Linked DNA regions of Bombyx mori. The protein of the gene in region 2 interacts with the protein of the main gene of each other region in a pairwise test. Links are inferred from orthologs where the notes say so. Each region holds a gene or a part of one and is shown on either strand. Other genes may lie near its edges.

Evidence for each region. The genes of interacting proteins can lie anywhere in the genome.
Region 1: the proteins of splicing factor 3A subunit 1 (region 2) and splicing factor 3A subunit 2 interact in a two-hybrid assay, tested with the Caenorhabditis elegans proteins (2 studies listed by BioGRID). The link is inferred for Bombyx mori from reciprocal best matches to the Caenorhabditis elegans genes prp-21 and repo-1.

What each region holds. Positions count from the first base shown.
Region 1 is NC_085119.1:6,722,560-6,730,208, reverse strand, and holds splicing factor 3A subunit 2, read right to left. Parts: upstream 6,054-7,649; 5' UTR 5,768-6,053; coding exon 5,614-5,767; intron 5,540-5,613; coding exon 5,276-5,539; intron 5,083-5,275; coding exon 4,715-5,082; 3' UTR 4,678-4,714; downstream 1-4,677. Other genes in the region: uncharacterized protein LOC101737912, read right to left, coding at 1-1,244, 1,335-1,453, 1,936-2,123, 2,422-2,455; RpS10 (ribosomal protein S10), read left to right, coding at 6,928-7,127.
Region 2 is NC_085112.1:2,353,813-2,365,668, forward strand, and holds the start of splicing factor 3A subunit 1, read left to right. Parts: upstream 1-1,896; 5' UTR 1,897-2,037; coding exon 2,038-2,152; exon of another isoform or gene 2,153-2,419; intron 2,420-3,616; exon of another isoform or gene 3,617-3,652; coding exon 3,653-3,817; intron 3,818-4,176; coding exon 4,177-4,979; intron 4,980-5,397; coding exon 5,398-5,697; intron 5,698-6,466; coding exon 6,467-6,658; intron 6,659-6,664; exon of another isoform or gene 6,665-8,292; coding exon of another isoform or gene 8,293-9,084; exon of another isoform or gene 9,085-9,766; coding exon 9,767-9,989; intron 9,990-10,388; coding exon 10,389-10,552; intron 10,553-11,614; coding exon 11,615-11,770; intron 11,771-11,856. Other genes in the region: transmembrane protease serine 3-like, read left to right, coding at 8,293-9,084.

The DNA of each region.
Region 1 (7,649 bases), on a different chromosome or scaffold from region 2:
CATCACACTCTCTGACAGTGTTGTTTAGAGTATTTTTATACGTAGTTAATTCATTTTCTAACACTTCTTTTGCACTTGTTAACATCTGTACTTGGTCTTCCAATTGTTCTAATTCACTGTCAGATTCTCGCAATCGCAATGTTAAAACGTGTACAATATCTCTTGTTACTGACAAAGATGTTTCAAATTTGTTTTTCTCTTTGATAGCTTTTTCCACTGCAAGATTTAATTTATTCTTTTCATTTTCATAGTTAATAGTTTTCTCAATTAGCTCATCTTTTAAAGTCTTTATTTCTTCAATAAAATTAAACTTTTCAGTTGACAATTCATCTTTACAATTTTTCAAATTGTTCAATTCCTGTTTCAAATCGGAATTCTGATTGTTGGTTAAATCTAAAGTATATTTTAACTCTTTTATCTCTTGTTCCAAATATTGTATAGTTTTCTCTTGCTGCGAGCAATGCTCTTGAATGCTTTGGCTCCGCTCCTCAAACTGTATTTCACATATTTTAAGTTTTTCACTAGCAGATTCCTCAATTTGTTCAAGTTTCGCTTTCATTTCCTGTTCTTTAATAATCAATTGACTATGGAGTTGTTCTAAAGCCTCACATTTCTCTTTTAACATTTGGTTTTTCAAGGATTCAATTGATGCATTATGTTTTGTTTTAAGATTTTCTTGATCAACTTTACATTTACTGATAATGGCTTGTTTTTCTTCATCCAATTTAGTCTTTAGAGCTTCCAATTCTATTTTGTACTCTCTCCTGATACTTTCATTAGCTTCCAGTGCCAAAGCATGGTGTCCCTTAACCATCTCCAATCTCTGCTGTGTTTCAGCTAATGTTAATTCATTGCTTGTTAATTTTTCTTGTAAATCTTTACACAAACTATCTCTTACAGTGATCACTTCTTCCAGTGATGACAATTCCATCTGCTTATCATACACTTCATTGTCAAGTGCTTCACATTTTTTTTCAAGTTCAATAATCCTACTTCTCATATCATTTATCATGGCAGAAACTTTCTCAGCGTCTGTACCTTGAACAGCATTATGTTCCGTGTGGCAATTTGTGTTATTAATTCTAAGCTTAGAAAGTTTTCTGTCAATTTCATTGAAATCAATATTGTTATGAGATTGCCTAAATTTAGTTGCAAGTTCTTTTAAAATTTCTTGAAGTTGAGCTATCTCATTTTTGTAATCTTCTATTTGCTTGTTATACTCACATATGGTTTGGTCCTTATTTCTGAAATAAAATAGTATTTAATTATACTAAATAAATTTTAAGATCAAGTGAATTTATCAGCTAATTGAAATAATTATTTACAAGACTCACCTTATTTCAACATCTTGTGCTTGAACTAATTCATCCTGTGGTAATATTTTATTTTTGGGACATGTTAATGTTTTCTTAATGCTGCTGTTAGGAGCTTTGGTAATTTTGAAAGCTTTGGGCTGAAATTAATTAACTCGCTTATAATTTATATTATGTTTGTTCATATTTTATACACAGCAATTGACGACTTTTTCATACATTTCATTATAAAGACTGAACCCACAACTGCATGTGCACAGTAATGTGGTAATATTGTCACTAAGTTAAAAAACAATTACTACCTAGCCCATTGTCAAAAATTCTTTTAAATACAGTGAATAAGTACATGAGCTAGGGCATATAATGTTACAATTACTACAATTAATATTGAGCATTAAAATAATGCTGACAGTACCTTTTTTCCCTACATATTTACTGGTAGTTTAAGGGGCTATTCCAGCTTCTCGCAAACATGTTATAGTACCATATAGCTATCTACTCGTAGAAGAAATTTATAATAATTTTGCAAAGGAGTAGGCCAAGTATGTGGTATTTACATGTTTGTACCAAACAGGGAATTTGCAATAAAAACATAATGTAAAAAAGTTTAAACAGTACTTACTGTGGCAAATTTTAATGATTTGCTACTTTGGACACTACTACATTGAGACTGCCCATCGACTGGTCTAATAGAATTGAGTGTGTTACTGCGACTTTTGCACAAACTTGATGATGTCTTCGTATTAATTTTAGTACTTTCACTATCTAATTTCTTATGTACATTTGTCTTCTTTTGATTTTTCTGGGCAACTGGAATTTTAAAGCACTTTTAGAAACAGGAATCAATAAATTTATGGCTTTAACAAAATAAATTACAGTACATTTATCACACTCGCTGGTCTAGCTTAGTAGGTTGGATCGCTCTACTACCGAGTCCAAGTTCGATTCCCAGTCTGAGTCAGTAACTTTGTTTATTCGTGATACATATTCTTGACTTATAAATGTGTTTCCGGTGCCTATGGTATAGTAGAAAATTGTATCCGGGGACCGTTAAATGTGGAAAGTTTATTAGTTCTATTCATTATTAAACTGTAGTGAATAAACTTACCAAGTGGTTCAAACCGCTTAGCTTTTGAAAACATGCTGAATATATTTGAAGAATCGCGTTCTTCGGAAATAGTTTTCCGGAACGACGAGAACGATCTGTTAATGTATTAAATTATTAATGAATAAAATAGATTTCGTATTACATATGTATTTAATTAACTGTTTAATATATGGACAGTTAATTATAATACCTAGCTTATAAAGTTAAGAGAAGGAATTTGACTTGGACCGAAACCGAGAACTGAACAGAACTGCGATGTGGCGCGGGAAACTGGACGGTTGGTTTTATGCATTGACGCTTGGTAATAATAAACAATAATATCTATTCAACAAACGAACAGCTGCAACGAACCGTTAAAATACGTTCCGTGCCACGCAGAATCATAGATTTTAAACAATAAACGAGATTTAAAATCAGAAATCTAAGTCAAATTATTCGACTGTTTGATTTTGAATTCACTTTACATTACACATACATAGGGCATAATAATGTAAATCCTTTGATAGGGCATAAAATACTGCGTGGCAGCATCAAAATTTGAAATTAAATTTTTTATGTTATAAAATATTTAACTAAAGAGTTCATCATTTTTATCTGCAACATTTCGAATTTCGTTTTAACGTGCTTAAGTTAGAATTAGCGTCAATAAGGCAGCGTCATTGGCGAGCAGTTAAAATAGCCCCTTAGGCTACGAGCGAATAGGTGGGAGAAACGGCCGATGGGGGATGCAATTATATAGATAATATGTATTTTGAATTGAATTACAGTTGATTCCGGTATTGTTTATGTAATATTCCATTTCGATAAATCCTCTCTTCTCCCTCCCGTCGTGGCCGCCGGTAACTACATTCCTGATCCTGCGGACCGAATGGTAAACAGTCGACGTCACCCAAAACACGTCATCTCGGATCCTCCCGATCCACCAACGGTGCAGGTACTCCAAGCACCGGTCATCGTTCTCGTCGAACCCGTCGAAGGGCTCGACGAGTATATTAACCCACAGACACAGCCCACTGAGTTTCTCACCGGATCTTCTCAGTGGGTCGCGTTTCCGAGCCGGTGGTAGATTCTGCGAAGCACGGCTCTTTCGAGGGTTCGGGTTAGCAACAACGTCAGGTTTGAGCCCCGCGAGCTCACCTACTCGGTCGGTGACGCTGATATGGTCTTGAGAGAATATCAGCTTAGGTAAGAAAAAAAATGTAAAATTGTAATTACGTACATTTGTGTTATGTTGTGGCGCCACGTGTCTGGTTGTAGTGTTGACCGCGGGAACCCCCTACTCTGACGGGTTTTGACCCCGGACGGAGATCGGACGTCGGGTGTAAGAGTGCAGGGGAGTTGTTTAGTGCGGTAGAGCCCTAAAATTCCTTGGGCCCGCGGTCTGCTCCCAACACCTTGCAGATCGTCAAGTCCCACATACCCCGCGCGCCCCCAAGGCGCGGGAACCTCGTAGGAGGTTCGGCCTCCGCGCCGAAAAAAAAAAGGTAGTGAGTTTGCGAGGTGTATTAGTTGTTTATTTGAAAAGAACCTATAGGTAGTCAAGCAAGAATGATTATTATTAAAATGGCTACATCAAATTTTGCCGATTCATGTTCATTTTACCAACACTGAGTTTTATTTTATTTATTTAGTAGTTATTACTATTTAATTAGTACCATAAGGACGGGGTAAGATTATTAACTTGCGACCATGAGTGTGTGAAAACGATTTGTAAAAGACATAGACAAAGATAAGTTGTTCAAATTGGAATTGAGATATTTGTACGAAATTGAAAAGAAAAAGCTTTTATCATAGTTATGACATATATATCTTTTAATGAAAAACTCCCTTTTTATTACCATTCTAAACACTTTTTTTAAATAACATTTAAACACACCAAGGAGGTAGAACTAGGTAAACCCAGGACTGAAGTAATATGTTCCTACTAAGGATTCTTAAGAAAAGTCATCATGGTCAAGAGGATAAGATACCCAACGCATTCCTAAAAGCTACATTATTATGCTAATCACACTTCCTACAAACTCAAAGTAGGTATCAAAAGACTATTTGGAATGCAAGCTCACATCCTACATGGCATTAAGGGTTACTTACTGGTGACCTATTACAGGAATTGAAGTCAAGACACAATCGTTAGCAATAATTTTTTTTATGTATATTGGAAATTTTTGTATTTTCGTTTAAAAACATCTTGACATTAAAGTACAAAAAGACCATAATTGAACAGAAAAGAGTGTTAATTAATGAAATTAAATTAAATGTATGTCAAAAACTTTATTGGAAAAATATCAACTAATTACATAGAGGGTGGTGGTGGGGGCACTGGTAATAATGGTGGTGGCGGTGGTACTCCCAACATCGGTGCTCCAGGAGGTGGAGGCAACCTCATGCTATGACCCTCCCACATTTTGGGATGGGGGGGAGGCATGCGTAACTGATCCATCTTAAATGCAAACTGCAAAAAGAACTGCTTTGTGTCCTTGTTCCAATGAGTCCAGAATTTTGAATCATGCTTTTCAACTTCTCTGCTAGGGACTTTAAATGCAATAGTTTCATAAGGCTCTGCTGCAAATAACAAATACTGCCATCTGCGGTCTGGAGGCTCAATCTTCTGTTCATAAGCAGACATAAATCTATGTCTAGGTATAACACCCTCTGCAATCTCTAAAAAAAATATTACACAGCATTTGAATATCTGTTCCTCTTTTTAGTATGGTTAATAAGAATTATTTCATCTAAATGACTTAAAATAAATTTTAAAGAGTAAAAGATTAGAAATATAATAATTGTAAAAGAAAACCTATTTAAACTACTTTTATTTCAATTTCACTTTTCATAATCATTGAAATGACTGTACCTGGATAATCTACTTGGAAGAGCAAGCTCTGCTGTCCAGTTTCAGGATCTTTCTGTTTTGTTACTCTGTAACCAGGTCTACCAATCTTCACAAATTTCTTAGGTTCAATTCTAGGTTTTTCCGGGGCAAGCTGTTGAGGCGCTTCTTTGGCTTCCTTTGCAGCTCTACGTGCCAAATTGGCTTGATGCTTCTTCCCTTGCGTGTGAGCCAAATAACTTCCCTCATTGTTATGCAGGGTTAAACAAAGTTTACATTCATAGGACCCTAAAAATGAAGTTTACGTTTGTGAAGTGAACGAGGTTAACATGTTGAAGTTATAACTAACGTTTATTACTCACCTAAATGATTTTTCATAAAATATGGATCTTTGTTTAAATCTATTGTTTCTAGTGCAAGCTGTCGTAATCTCTCCCGCCGGTCTCTGTTACTTTCCGACCATGACGCTACACCTCCTCCACCAGTTTTACCGCCAGGGCGATTTTGAAAATCCATTTTAATTAAAAGTAACACTTATTTTAAGCTTAGAATATTAATTGTCCAGTTGACAAAGTAGTTAAACTTTGACATTAAATTAAATTGAAATTCGTAGTCTGCTCTGTAATTAATATAACCTAACATGACATTTGATGACATGAATTGATTTTTTTTAAGGGATTTTATGACCTGGTTACTAAGACCTTTAGGTCAAGTCTTATTTTAATTTTAATGAAAACTTTTCTCTATATGGGCCGTTTTCCAATTACAGCACAAGAGCGCATTATACGGCATAATGCTCAACTAAGCTTCCGCATAATTCGGCATTGTGCGTCACTGAGTCGGATTATTCTGTGTAATTAGAAAACTACCATTAAATAATGGTAAATGGAAAACGGCCATGAAAAATGATATTATGAAATGAAATGAAGTTGATTATTAAGAAGCATGACATGAATCGAAACGAAACGAAATCTGTAATCTGAGACTTTAATCAATTGGGATGAAAGTAAATGAAGTAACTGATAAATTTTCTTCATTTTTTATGCTACTACAAACGATATGTTGACTACAAGCAAAATCTGCTGTAGTAAGCGCTTAAAGTATGTCTCTTGTACGAGTATGAAAAGTTAGTCGGACACTATTTAATGGAAATAAAACAACATGGATGTAAAACATTTGTAGGTGTTCAATGAAATTAAATGAAATAACCTCATTTCGACGAAACTCACTTTAACACATGCATGCACGCGCGCGCTCATATAAACACACACACAACATCTCATTGAATTTCGTTTCCTTTAGTCATTTCATTCCATTCATTCCAATTTTACATTTCAGTTAATATTCATATTATGTCTTCCCTACAAAAGATTTGGCTGTATGAATTCAAAGTTGATGATTGTCGATTGATTGCTATTTGACAGTTGACAGCTTTCAACAAACTTCCCTTCAATCCCCTTGCTCTTTTCTGTGTTAAGTTAGCCTACAGGTAGTACAGTTTTTCTTATAAAATCGATCTTAAATACATTAATCAGTGCATATTACTTATTATAAGTGTTATAAGTGAAGAAAAAAGTTATTGCGTAATCTTGTGATGAATATATTTCAAGAAGTGCTACGTTTTTTTCACTTGTATGTCTTAACCCAATAATTTGTTGTTTTAGGCGGCTTTCAAGATGTTGATGCCCAAACAAAACCGTGTTGCTATTTATGAGTACCTCTTTAAAGAGGGAGTCATGGTGGCCAAAAAAGACTATCATGCACCGAAGCATACTGAACTAGAGAAGATTCCTAACCTCCAAGTTATCAAAGCTATGCAATCACTCAAGTCCAGAGGTTATGTCAAAGAACAGTTTGCCTGGAGGCACTTTTACTGGTAGATATTTATTATGTTTCATGTGTTGTCTATTATTTGTCGTAATTTTCATAGATTTAATGTAATGATACGATTCTCATAGAATTCTGTATCAACTACACTAATTTAATATAAACACTAATATTTTATACCTTTTAACAATTTGTTGAGAATGTTAAATATTGAGATTAACTTATATCTGTCAATCAATGTCTGTTGTTTAGGTGTGCAATAGAGTACACATTAATAATAATATGAATTGTTTGGCGCATTAAATTAATTTCACTAATAACTTTTTTTTGTCAACCAAAATGACGAATCTGAAAAAAAAGCTGCTTACCTTCAGAGAAATACCAACCTTTAAACATCTGATGTTGTTGATTTTAGACATTTTTGTTTAGATCACTTACCTTTTCAATGGATTATTTAATTCTCATATCGTGTCTTGTGTGGTGTCAACCCGTAATATCAACACTGCATCTCTTCTGGATTTCATAAATTGCAACTTAAGGTTTTAGTGAAAAATGGATATTGGTGTTCTCT
Region 2 (11,856 bases):
GCATCGCTGTAAGAATTCCAGAACTGTAGACTCAAAGGCTTTCTCGTAGTCCACGAAAGCCATGCAAAGTGGCAGATTATATTCTGTAGAATTTTGCATAATCTGTCTGAGGGTGTGAATATGGTCTACGGTATTGTAACCTTTTCGAAACCCAGCCTGCTCCGGTGACTGGTACTCATCAAGCCTTCGGGCGAGACGATTAGTAATGACCCTAGAAAAGACCTTGTAGACGTGGCTCAAAAGAGATATCAGTCTATAGTTCTTCAACAAAGTTTTATCACCCTTCTTGAAGAACAACACGACCCGACTCCTTGTCCACGCCAATGGTGTAGTCCCGTTGTGTATGAAGGAACCCCTCCGGATTTTAGAAGATCTGTCGTAATTCCATCTTCACCAGGTGCTCTACTATTTTTGAGCTGAGCCAAGGCCATCCCAATCTCCCCCATGCTGATGTCCGGGACATCGTCCGAGTAAGCGGTGTTCGACTGTCACTAGCTCGGGTGGCGGTTGTAGGTAGAGAAGTGTACATTGCGTAGATTTATGATCGCTATGATATATTAGAAATCGTCGTGGCTTAAAGGTTATGACGCCTTGTGCATTCGTTTCGATCGATGCGACCGTGCCGATGTTCGAATCCTGCTTGAAGATACATGTTTTTCTAGTGTAATACGTGTACCTTACTCATTTTCACGAATTGCTTCCACGATCAAGGAATAACATCGTGTAATAAAAGCCAAACCCACAAAAAATATTATATGCATAATTGATGATATGAGTGGATGAAGGGGTTAGGTATAATTATTTTTTTTTGTTTTTGCATTGAATGAAGGTGTTATGTGCCTATAAACCATATTAGACCTTAAAACTACGGATTTAAAGGTTATTTTTAGAACTTGCATTTGATGAATGAGTTATGTACGAAGAAAAAGTACAAGTAACAAGTTTATTACCCGTTTTCTGAAAAATTAACAAAATTGTATCATGTCCCGTTCATCCACTCATGTCTTCAATTATAGGAGGTAGGGCATCTTCTGAGCCTGCACAGGAAAGTACCACCACCTATTGCTTATTTCTACCACTTACCACCAACTAGGCCGGGAGCTCGTCTACCAATCTAAGCAAAAACAAGTAAACAAATACCTGCATTCTCGTAAATGTATTGCAATGTTACCTCAAATCTGATTGCATGTTTGCTCGAATCAAAAATTGGTAAAATGTGGTTGCTCACCCGTGCAGGCTTGCATCGCGTGTAATTAGGATATGAACTAGCTATTAAACACTGACTCAAATTAACTCCACCTCCAGCGGAACCATGTGGGACAGCGGCTAGCCAAAACGCACCTAAATATTGCATTAACATTACCGAGACACCCCGACGCGTGAGGCCAGCGTAAGACAAGAAACGTGCCAATCACAACCATCCATCATCTGGTTGTTTATATTATAGTTAAATATTTTACCTCATTTAAATCCGTTCTATTTTATTTCGGATTCTAATATAGTTTTATAACTTTTCATACAACAGACGCAAGGCCTTCTTCTATAAATTAAAGTTTTTGATATGATTCCTTTGCTTGCCCTGTTTTAGAACAATAAAGGATCTAAATTTTACTACTGTAAAATTTTAATGGGAAGGTACATAATAACTCCATGGGGATAATGAAACAAAGGCGCTGGACAGAGTTTCTCGGGATCTTCCAAAAAGTCTACTGAAATTCTCAGTAAATAACTACTATTTCACTGAGATTATATTTCATCTCACATTATATCGTTTCATTTAATTTCATCTCAAATGCCGCAAATCATTCAATCAACTTCATTTTGCTCCTTAATTTTTCATGAAAGAGATTAGAATATACAAAAATTAAGCTGTATGGTAGGATATCTTTGCCTTTTCAGTTGGAAAAATAGAACTACTACTACTGTCAAATTTTGAGGTTATTTATAGCGTCATTTGGGCTGTTGTTGTAAATTGTTGTTCATAGTGCGTAAATATCGTCTACTTTTCTGAGAGAGTAGCTGTAAACGGAAGGCACAATGCCATCTATAGATGTAATGCTACCACCGGGGCAGTCGTTAGAGATCCCGGAAGATCCGCCTCCACCACCCCCTCCAGTCATTGGCATTATTTATCCACCACCTGAAGTCAGAAGTATCCTTTTAACAATAATAAACAGGTAGTATTTAGATATAAATTACGATTTTAATGCATTTTAATCCGAAATCAAAATATCCTAAATACTTTTCTGATATCAAATTGACGGCACTGAAACATCCGCTGTCCACCGGAATCAGGTCTTTCGAGTTTGGATTAATTCGTTGATTCATGGTTAAAAAACATAATCGGCGTAACCAAGAAAACAACGATTCGCATAAAGGATACAAATACATAATTAAACTGTCACATAGTTTGATTTTTGTAAGTATGATCATGATCTGTTTTGCCATGCATATTTGGTTTGGTAAGATTATTAAATTATTTCCTAGCACAAGGAAGTTAATAATGTGATAATAAAAAAAAGGATGGAAATTTTAACAAATTCTCGTTTGTTGGTTATTAACATTTTGGAAAAACAACTCTGTGTGTATTTTTTGATAACACTAAGCATGATAGCTACTAAATAAATTATTAAGGAAATTTGATTGAAATACAAAGAAATTCATTTTGAAATAGATAAAGGATTAATATCTTGTAGACTTGATTGTTCATGATAATAGGCAATCTCCACAATAAGTAGAAAATTAATAACTGAATTCACTTTTAATTAGCCCATTCTGTCAATATTTTTGTTAATTGAAAGCCCAATTGTTTGAAAATGATTTTGTGACTTCTTGTAAGTCCGCATGGGTAGGTACCACCACCCTGCCTATTTCTGCCATAAAGCAGTAATGCGTTTCGGTTTAAAGGGTGGGGCAGCCGTTGTAACTTATATCAAGGTGGGTGGCGCATTTAAGCTGTAGATGTCTATGGGCTCCAGTAACCACTTAACATCAGGTGGACTGTAAGCTTGTCCACCCATCAAAGCAATAAAAAAAAACATTTCTGAAAGTATGGAGTATTTTAATTGTGATTTCAATAGGCTCTGATAACTGCTTTACCCCTGGCGGACTGTGAGATTGTTCCTCAAGTAAGGATACTTAAAACCTTAAAATCAGGTTTCACTTAAAATATATTGACGCTTGAAAGGCAAATGTGACTAAGCGACAATGCATGAACTTTACAGTAGACTAATTTAAAGTTGAAATTAATTTAAAATATACATAAGAAATACCTGAAAAAAATTCTATTATAACGAATCTAGCTGTAGGGTTGAAATGATTTTAATAGACCTAGAAATATATATTTTTTGCGCATCGAATATGGTTATTGCCTATCACTTCTGTACAAAGCAGTTATTGTCGCTTAGTCATGTTTGCCTTTCAAGCGTTGATATGTTTATGAAAGAAAATTTTAGTTCCTCACTATATTTTATGGTTAATATCGTTTTCTGTTTATGTTTAAATAGTTCATTATTACTCTTTCATGCTCGGTATGCTATAAATATTCTTTATTCCCAGTTCTTTATTTTAGTCAGAAAGATATTCAAAATTAAATTAGCTCAAAGTTTTATTTCAGAATTTTCAAAAATATTTCTTTAACCCAGCTAAATAGATATTGTTGATAAAACTGCCAGCTTTGTGGCTCGTAATGGTCCTGAATTTGAAGCTAGGATCAGACAGAATGAGCTGGGCAATCCAAAGTTCAACTTCCTTAATTCAGGGGATCCCTACCATGCTTACTATCAGCATAAAGTCAGAGAGATCAAAGAGGGAAAAGGTAAGTTTTCAAATTCTATTCATTTAAATTAGTATAAAATTTAATTAAAATATTAACATAACAATGTGACAGAAAGAAGGCTATTGTCAAATTTGTGGGTTCAGGACAACTTGTTGATATTATTATGTGGGCCAGCATAGCAACTGTTGATTATATACATATGTGATGAATATGACCTGTTTGCTTATGGAACATTTCACTTTAATTGTTTTACACTAGAAAAACAAATCATGTCTCAGCTTTGATTAAAAGAAAGAATTGTTCTTCTAACATAAAATTTGCACAGCTTGGTCAACTTACATTTGATAGAAAGATTAAAATCTAGTCTGCTTATGTCACTGATAGTCGTATTTTTTTAGTTCCCGAACCAACTGCACCACCAACTATGCCATCAGGACAGCAACGAATGGGTCTCGCTCCAGCCACAGCGGCCCGCCAGCAGGAGCTCCTCAAGGCAGCTGCTCCTGCAGAACTGCCTCCGCCGCGCGACCCACCACCAGATTTCGAATTTATCGCTGATCCACCGTCTATATCGGCTCTGGAGCTCGACATAGTGAAATTAACCGCGCAATTTGTCGCCAGAAACGGTCGTCAGTTCTTAACGGATTTAATGAAGAAAGAGGAGCGTAATCATCAGTTTGATTTTCTTCGTCCCCAGCATTCACTGTTCCAATACTTCACGCGTCTGCTTGAGCAGTACACGAAGGTGTTGCTGCCGCCAAAAGAACTAGTATCAAAGCTGAATGCTGAGATACGCAGCGGGATATTAGAACAAGCTCGCAGTCGCGCTGCCTGGCACGCGCACCAAGCCAAGCGCAAGGCCGCTGACGAGGCCAAAATTGAGAAAGAGAGGCTCGCGTATGCCTCCATAGACTGGCACGATTTTGTCGTTGTTGAAACTGTAGATTACCCCGCAGGGGAACCCGGAGACTTCCCTCCTCCGACCACTCCACTAGAAGTCGGAGCCCGCGTCCTCGCCCAAGAGAGGGGTGAAGATATAATACGGAACCAGAATGACGACGATGATACTGAGATGCAAATTGAATCCGAATCGGAATCGGAGTCTGATGAGGAACTTGCGGAAATGGAGGATCGAACTCAGTCCCATCGGCCGGACGATAACCGCGTGCAAGACATGGAAGAGGAAAGCTCGACTTCGGAGGTAATATTTTTAATGATTTTACAATTTAAGCTGAACCAGTATCAACAAACTGATTTCAAAGCTAGCATTTAAAAAATCCTTCAATGCTATATATACAGTTCAGAGCCGTTTGATGCAGTGGTAAGTGACATGGTCACTACACAACAGGGTCGCGGGTTCGAATCCCGCCAAGGGAAGATATTTGTATGATAAATATAAAATGTTTTTTCCAGGGTTATGGATGTATATTAAATATATGTATGTGTATAATAAAAATCTTACATTTATTTCCGTTATCTGGTACCTGTAACACAAGTTCTTTACGAACTTAGCACAGAACCAGTTAACGTGGTGTGATTGTTAGTAAATATTTATTTATTATAAAAAAAAAGCTGTTCTGATAATATCATAGCTAATATTCATGTAAATTATTTTTCAGTCCGAGACGGAGCAAGACGCCCCGCGCGCGGACGAGGCGCCCCTCCCGCCGCGCCCCGACCGCGTCGTCGTCAAGAAGTACAACCCCAAGGAGGCGAAGCCCCGCGCCGCCGCCGGGGACGAGTGGCTCGTGTCGCCCATCACCGGCGAGAAGATCCCCGCCAGCAAGGTGGCCGAGCACGTGCGCATCGGGCTGCTGGACCCGCGCTGGCTGGAGCAGCGGGACCGCGCCGCCGCCGAGCGCACCGACCGGGACGAGGCGCTCGCCCCCGGGGCCGCCATCGAGGCTTCGCTTAAACAGGTATGCCCACATCCAAACTTTTTTGATAAATTTTTTTATTGCTTAAATGGGTGGACGAGCTCACAGCCCACCTGGTGTTAAGTGGTTACTAGAGCCCATAGACATCTACAATGTAAATGCGCCACGCACCTTGAGATATAAGTTCTAAGGTCTCAGTATAGTTACAACGGCTGCCCCGCCCTTCAAACCGAAACGCATTACTGCTTCACGGCTGAAATAGGCAGGGAGGTGGTACCTACCCGTGCGGACTCACAAGAGGTCCTACCACCAGTAACTATTTGCTATGTGTATGTGCATTACTATAATTCTCATGTTGTATTTGTTATTTTAGCTGTTCTACACACACTCATCACTTTTAATTATTATTCTCATAATCCTCTCGCAGGTCTGCTGGAAGAGATTTCTTAAAAAAATAAGCAGTGCCTTTGTACATAATTTTCCTATTACTCGGTACTATGCCTTCTTTTTTGTGTGTACGTAAATAAATAAATAAGTTTATATAATAATATCAAATTTTAAATAAAAAACTGAATTCAACAAAATACAACGAGAGAGAAACGTCTGAAGTCAATAAATGTGCAACTATTGAGGATAATTCCAAAACTACTGATCAAATCTTCATAAAATTTAAATGGCACCATGCTTTCAAATAAACAAATCATCAAAATCAATTCACAAGAGAAAAAAACCTCAGGAAACAAAAAAATGTCGAATTGCAAACCTCCTTATTTTGTAAGTCTGTTAAGAAAATAATAAACATTTGTTGTAGTTGGCGGAGCGTCGTACTGACATCTTCGGTGTAGGGGACGAGGAAACGACCATCGGTAAGAAGATCGGCGAGGAGGAGAAGAAGCGCGACGAGCGCGTGACGTGGGACGGGCACACCTCCAGCGTGGAGGCCGCCACCCGCGCCGCCAGGGCGCACATCACGCTCGAGGACCAGATCCAGCAGATACACAAGGTGAGCCGCGCCGCCTCCCTTCCACCAGGCCAACGACAAGGACAATGCCACCTCCAAAAGAGCTCCGCATATTCCTTTTTATACATTTTTCCCCCTACCTATGCTGATAGCCTTGAGAGGCTTTTTCTTCTAGATACACCATTTGGTCCACTACAAAATGTTTCTTTATTAATTTCGTTTTTTTTTTTTCATAGAACAAAATAGTTTGAAATTTTCAAATTTTAAACGCATGTGTAGAAAAATATGTGTCGAGTCTCCTAGTACATAAACCGGGGCCGAAAACAATGCGAATAAATCCAGCCACAAAATTTAAAATAATATACAAATATTTTAGTGTTGCACTCGATTTTAGTGACTTTTTTTTCTATATACTGAGTCTTAAGCGGCTATATCAGCTTCGCCCTAACATGTAAGTGAGCTCACGGGGCTCAAACCGGGAGTGTTGCTAACACTGACCCTAGCAAGAGCAGTGCTTCGCAGAATCTACCACCGGATCGGAAACGCGACCCACTGAGAAGATCCGGCGAGAAACTCAGTAGGCTGTGTCTGAGGGTTAAATTAGCGACCCGCCCGTGCTTCGCTTCGGGAACTATAACTTATTATTGATCTTATTGAATTTTCTATCTTCATCTTTCATAATATCGCGCACTCGATTGTGAATAGTCATAACTATTCAAATATTGATCCACCTACCATTCATTACAACCATGATTAACATGCATGTTATTCTGCAGTGTAAGCTATATTATTGTAAGCTTCATCAAAATTCATTGAGCACTTTTTGCGTGAAAGAGTAACAATTAAGATGTAGTGGGAAATTATTTTCCTTCGGGAAAACTCTGATCTTTATCGGAATACGATGACACCCGAACAGTCAATGAATGATTATATTAAATGAGTAACATTTTCATATCCAATAGTATGGAACTTTATTATTTAGTGTCAAAATGAATAATGTCATTGCACTGAGAGAGCACGATAAATACGAACTTTTCCGAAAAATTACGAAGTACTTTTCTGAATATGTCTATACATTCTTACACACTTTCACATTTATAATATTAAGTAGGATGAATCAAAAAAGGGTATTATTATGATATATAAAAAAATCATTGGATTCATTGAACATTGGCTTCAACCCTGATTCCTTCAATGCAGGAAAGGGCTTGCATTTTTTTGCTTACCTAATCGTCGGTACCCTAAAGGGCTATTCTAACTACTCACGGACCGGTAGGTGAGCTCCCTGGGCTCATCCTGAGAGAATTTACTAAAACTAGCCCTAGCAAGCACAGTGCTTCGCAGAATCTACCATCGGGTCGGAATCACGGCCCAATGAGAAGACCCGGTGAAAGAAACTCAGTTACTTGTGTTTGTGGCAGCGTATTCCCAAAAGGACAAGCACTAACACATTTCCCCACCCCCACTGTGCCAGAAAAAAGTTTTCATAAACTATCGTAAATGCCTTAAACAAATAAAATATCAATCAAACTGCTGGGAAACCCGATCGCGAATAACATTGCACAGCGCGTAATAAAAATCTCGTCAATAAAATATAAAACATTAAAACAGAAAAACAATAAAAATGTTTCACGTGTATTGTATTTCTCTTATGTTGAACAACATTGTAATACATAATGGGTATTGTGGCATTGAATCTAATGTTATATTTCGTTTTGCAAACTGTAAATATTGTGGTTTGCACGAAATCACTGCGCACAGGCAGAGATGCTTTAGAAGATGAGTACCCGTACGTTGTGACGGTCGAGTTAAAACTCACGAATACTACGACGAACGCTCTGCTGTGCTCGGGGTGCGTGCTGACCCCGACCTGGACCCTGACCACCGCGCGCTGCGTCTCCAAAACCGAAGACTTGCTAATCCAGGATCCGAAGATGTCATGGGTGGTGTACTATGGACTCACGCAGAAACCTTCCCAGGACACCGCCATCGCGATCCTTTCCGGAATAGTCCACCCCAGATATGCCGCGTCACCGAGAATGCTTCACAACGACATCGGCCTTCTGCGCACCGATCCCATCACCCTTAAACAGTTCGCCAAATTGAGCGCCGTTGACATGTTCTCTATGAACGGTTACGAAGTTGAGCTAATAGGCTTCAAGTCGACCAATGATACCAGTGGAAAATTGAAGAGAACTCTACAGATTTCATCGGTTGTGGTGAAGACTTGTGAAGGCACCGTTACTTATCCGGGGATGTGTTTGGCTCGGTCCTGCTCGTTGACCGACGCTTGTCACCAGGAAACTGGAGGTATAGCCATCCACAGCACCGGGGTCATAGCACTCCTGGCCAGTGGACGCAAGAGGGACTGCTTGGAGAACAATGAGAGACAGCAGGCCTATCAAATTGAGACAATGACTTCAATTGTGCCATATATAGATTGGATTCATACTCATATCAAGAGCTAATAGTAGCTAGTGTAAGATTGGTGTCAGAAGCTTCAGTGAACGGATGAAATTTGTATTGTTTTCTCAATAAAAGTGTTTGTTTATGAGCTTTATTTGTATTTAGCTTTTAAAAGCAATTAAAAATGCTCAGTTAACTTGATGATTACCCGCCTTTAGTTAAGCCTGCTCACTAAAGTATTGATATTTTACACTGACTAACTTTGTACGCTTCGGGCTTGTGTTGGATCAATGTTTTATCTTCTCGTTATTTTACTTGCTTAGCTTATACTGTTGTGTATGCACAAATGAAAGATTCCAAAGCAGACTGGTTTATTTTTGCATCTACCCGCCATTTTATAATGCGATTTAATATCTATACATAACACTTGTAATAAAGGGAGGTGGCGGAATTCATGGAATTCATTTGGTGAACTATATCTGATGTTTATAGGTTCCGTGAAGCTGTTGACCTGGAGTTGGCCATTAGTTTGTTCAAATAATTGTTCCATGCTCTCTGCGACATACGCCTTAGTAACTTCTTACTGCATTTCCAAATAGTAAGGAAATTGTATAATGGTAAACATGACGTAATAGCTTAGGTTATTTGAAGATACACTTTTTTAACGAGCATAATAAGAAATACTATTGCAACATTCTCTTCGAAACTCGTTTAAGATACTCATTACGATTGATTACAATTCAGGTTAAAGGTCTACTCCCCGACGAGGAGAAAGAGAAAATAGGTCCGAAGCCAGTGACCGGGGCAGCCCAGAGCCGGGCGGGGCGTCCCCCCGCGCCCCCCTCTGCCCCCCGCGCTGCTCCGCCTCCCCCGCCCCCGGCACCGCCTGTGCTGCTGCAGCCGATGTCCTCGCTAATGGTCCTGCCCCCCATGGCGCCCCGACCTCCGCTCATACCGGCTCCAGTGGGTACGTATACTCGAACACTGCACACATTCCGTACAACATGGCGCTAAGATCGCGTGCCTGATTTACTGGTGCCGGACAATGTACATGTAGTCTTAGGGAGTTAAGCTACAGATTAGAGGAAGAGTTGATGGAATGATAGAGTAAAGTGACATCTGAATGTGATCGCTGTGAGGGGATCATATGGTCAAAGTGTTCTGTGCAGGGGACCGACCCATCGTGGGTCGGTGAGTATCGGCTTCGGTCTGTGCACCCACGGTGTGTTGGACCCCACCTAACGCCAGTTGAGCTGTAGATTCGCGTGCCAGTAATGCATGCAACTATCCAAATATTGTGTGTGCTTCTTGCATAACACATCCGCTCAGTACATTTTGTACCAATAATGTGATTGCATCGCCTTAGGTGCAGTACCACCGCCGGCGTTCAACTTCGGAGCGGTAGTCCCTCCGGGCACAGTGGCGGAGCCCGAGGACGAGGGCCCGGCCGCTAAGAGAGCCCGCACCGAGGACGCGCTGGAGCCCGAGGGCGCCTGGCTCGCGCGCCACCCCGGCGCAGTCCCCCTGCAGGTGGGCTACCAGTAACACTACAATGATTGCTCTTACGCTAACAAACATTACAACTACAAACAAATAGAAAATCGGTCCAGTGTTTTTTTATTTTTTTTTATTGCTCAGAGGGGTGGACGAGCTTACAGCCGACCTGATGTTAAGTGGTTACTGAAGCCCATATACATCTACAACGTAAATGCGCCACCCACCTTGAGATATAAGTTCTAAGGTCTAAGTATAGTTACAACGGCTGCCCCACCCTTCAAACCGAAACGCATTACTGCTTCACGGCAGAAATAGGCACGGTGGTGGTACCCACCCGCGCGTATTATTAATATACCCCCAATATTAATATGTAGACAGAAGTGCTCTAATTTAATACGGTTTTATTAGCTTCATACGTATGTTAGTAAGTAACGGAATCTTTGAACATGATTTTGACCCCCTTCAAAACGTCAGATTGATTCGAAATTTGGCATACTTATTAAGGACCGATTAAAATTCAATATTTTAAACAATTAGACTCGTTATCCTTACTAGGATAATCAGGAATAGCGATTTTTTGTTTTCCTGAGACCCTGAGTGTCTGCGTCAAAACCAAGATGGGAAACCACCAGGCCCGCTGATTACCTATTTCTCGGATAAGTTACCGACTGTATCAGATGAAAGTTTTGAAATATTGAAAAAAAAAATTAATAAATTAAAATTCAACTAAAAAAATAGAAAATAAATTTTAATTAAAAATAGTCTAAGAAAAAATTATATTATTGTAAAAAAATCGTGGGGCGCACTGTATCAATAGTTATAAATATTTTATGAACAGATATGAGTAGAAGGGCTATTTTGATAATATACTGAAAAGCACCCGTACCTCCTACGAGGTCTCCGCGCTTAGGAGGCGCGCGGGGTAGGTACGTGGGACTGGTCCGCGACTGCGAGACTGCGGGCCCAAGGATGTTTTCAGGGCCCTAGAGTGGTGGTACCTACCCGTGCGGACTCACAAGACGTCCTACCACCAGGAATGCATTATGTTAATTGTATGATATTGTACCCTAATGCCCTTGTCCCTTGTGTCGGCAGGTGTCGTTGCCGGCGGCGCCTGAGCGCGCGGAGTGGCGGCTGGACGGGCGCGCGGTGCCGCTGACGCTGCCGCTGTCGGCCGCCGTCGCCGAGCTCAAGGCCATGCTGCAGCGCGCCACCAACATGCCCACCGCCAAGCAGAAGCTGCACTACGAGGTATCCCGACACGCTCAAATACTCGCATAGCTCACCGTAACAAATGATTAGCCATATTTTTTCCCCGGTTTTGACAGACCATATTA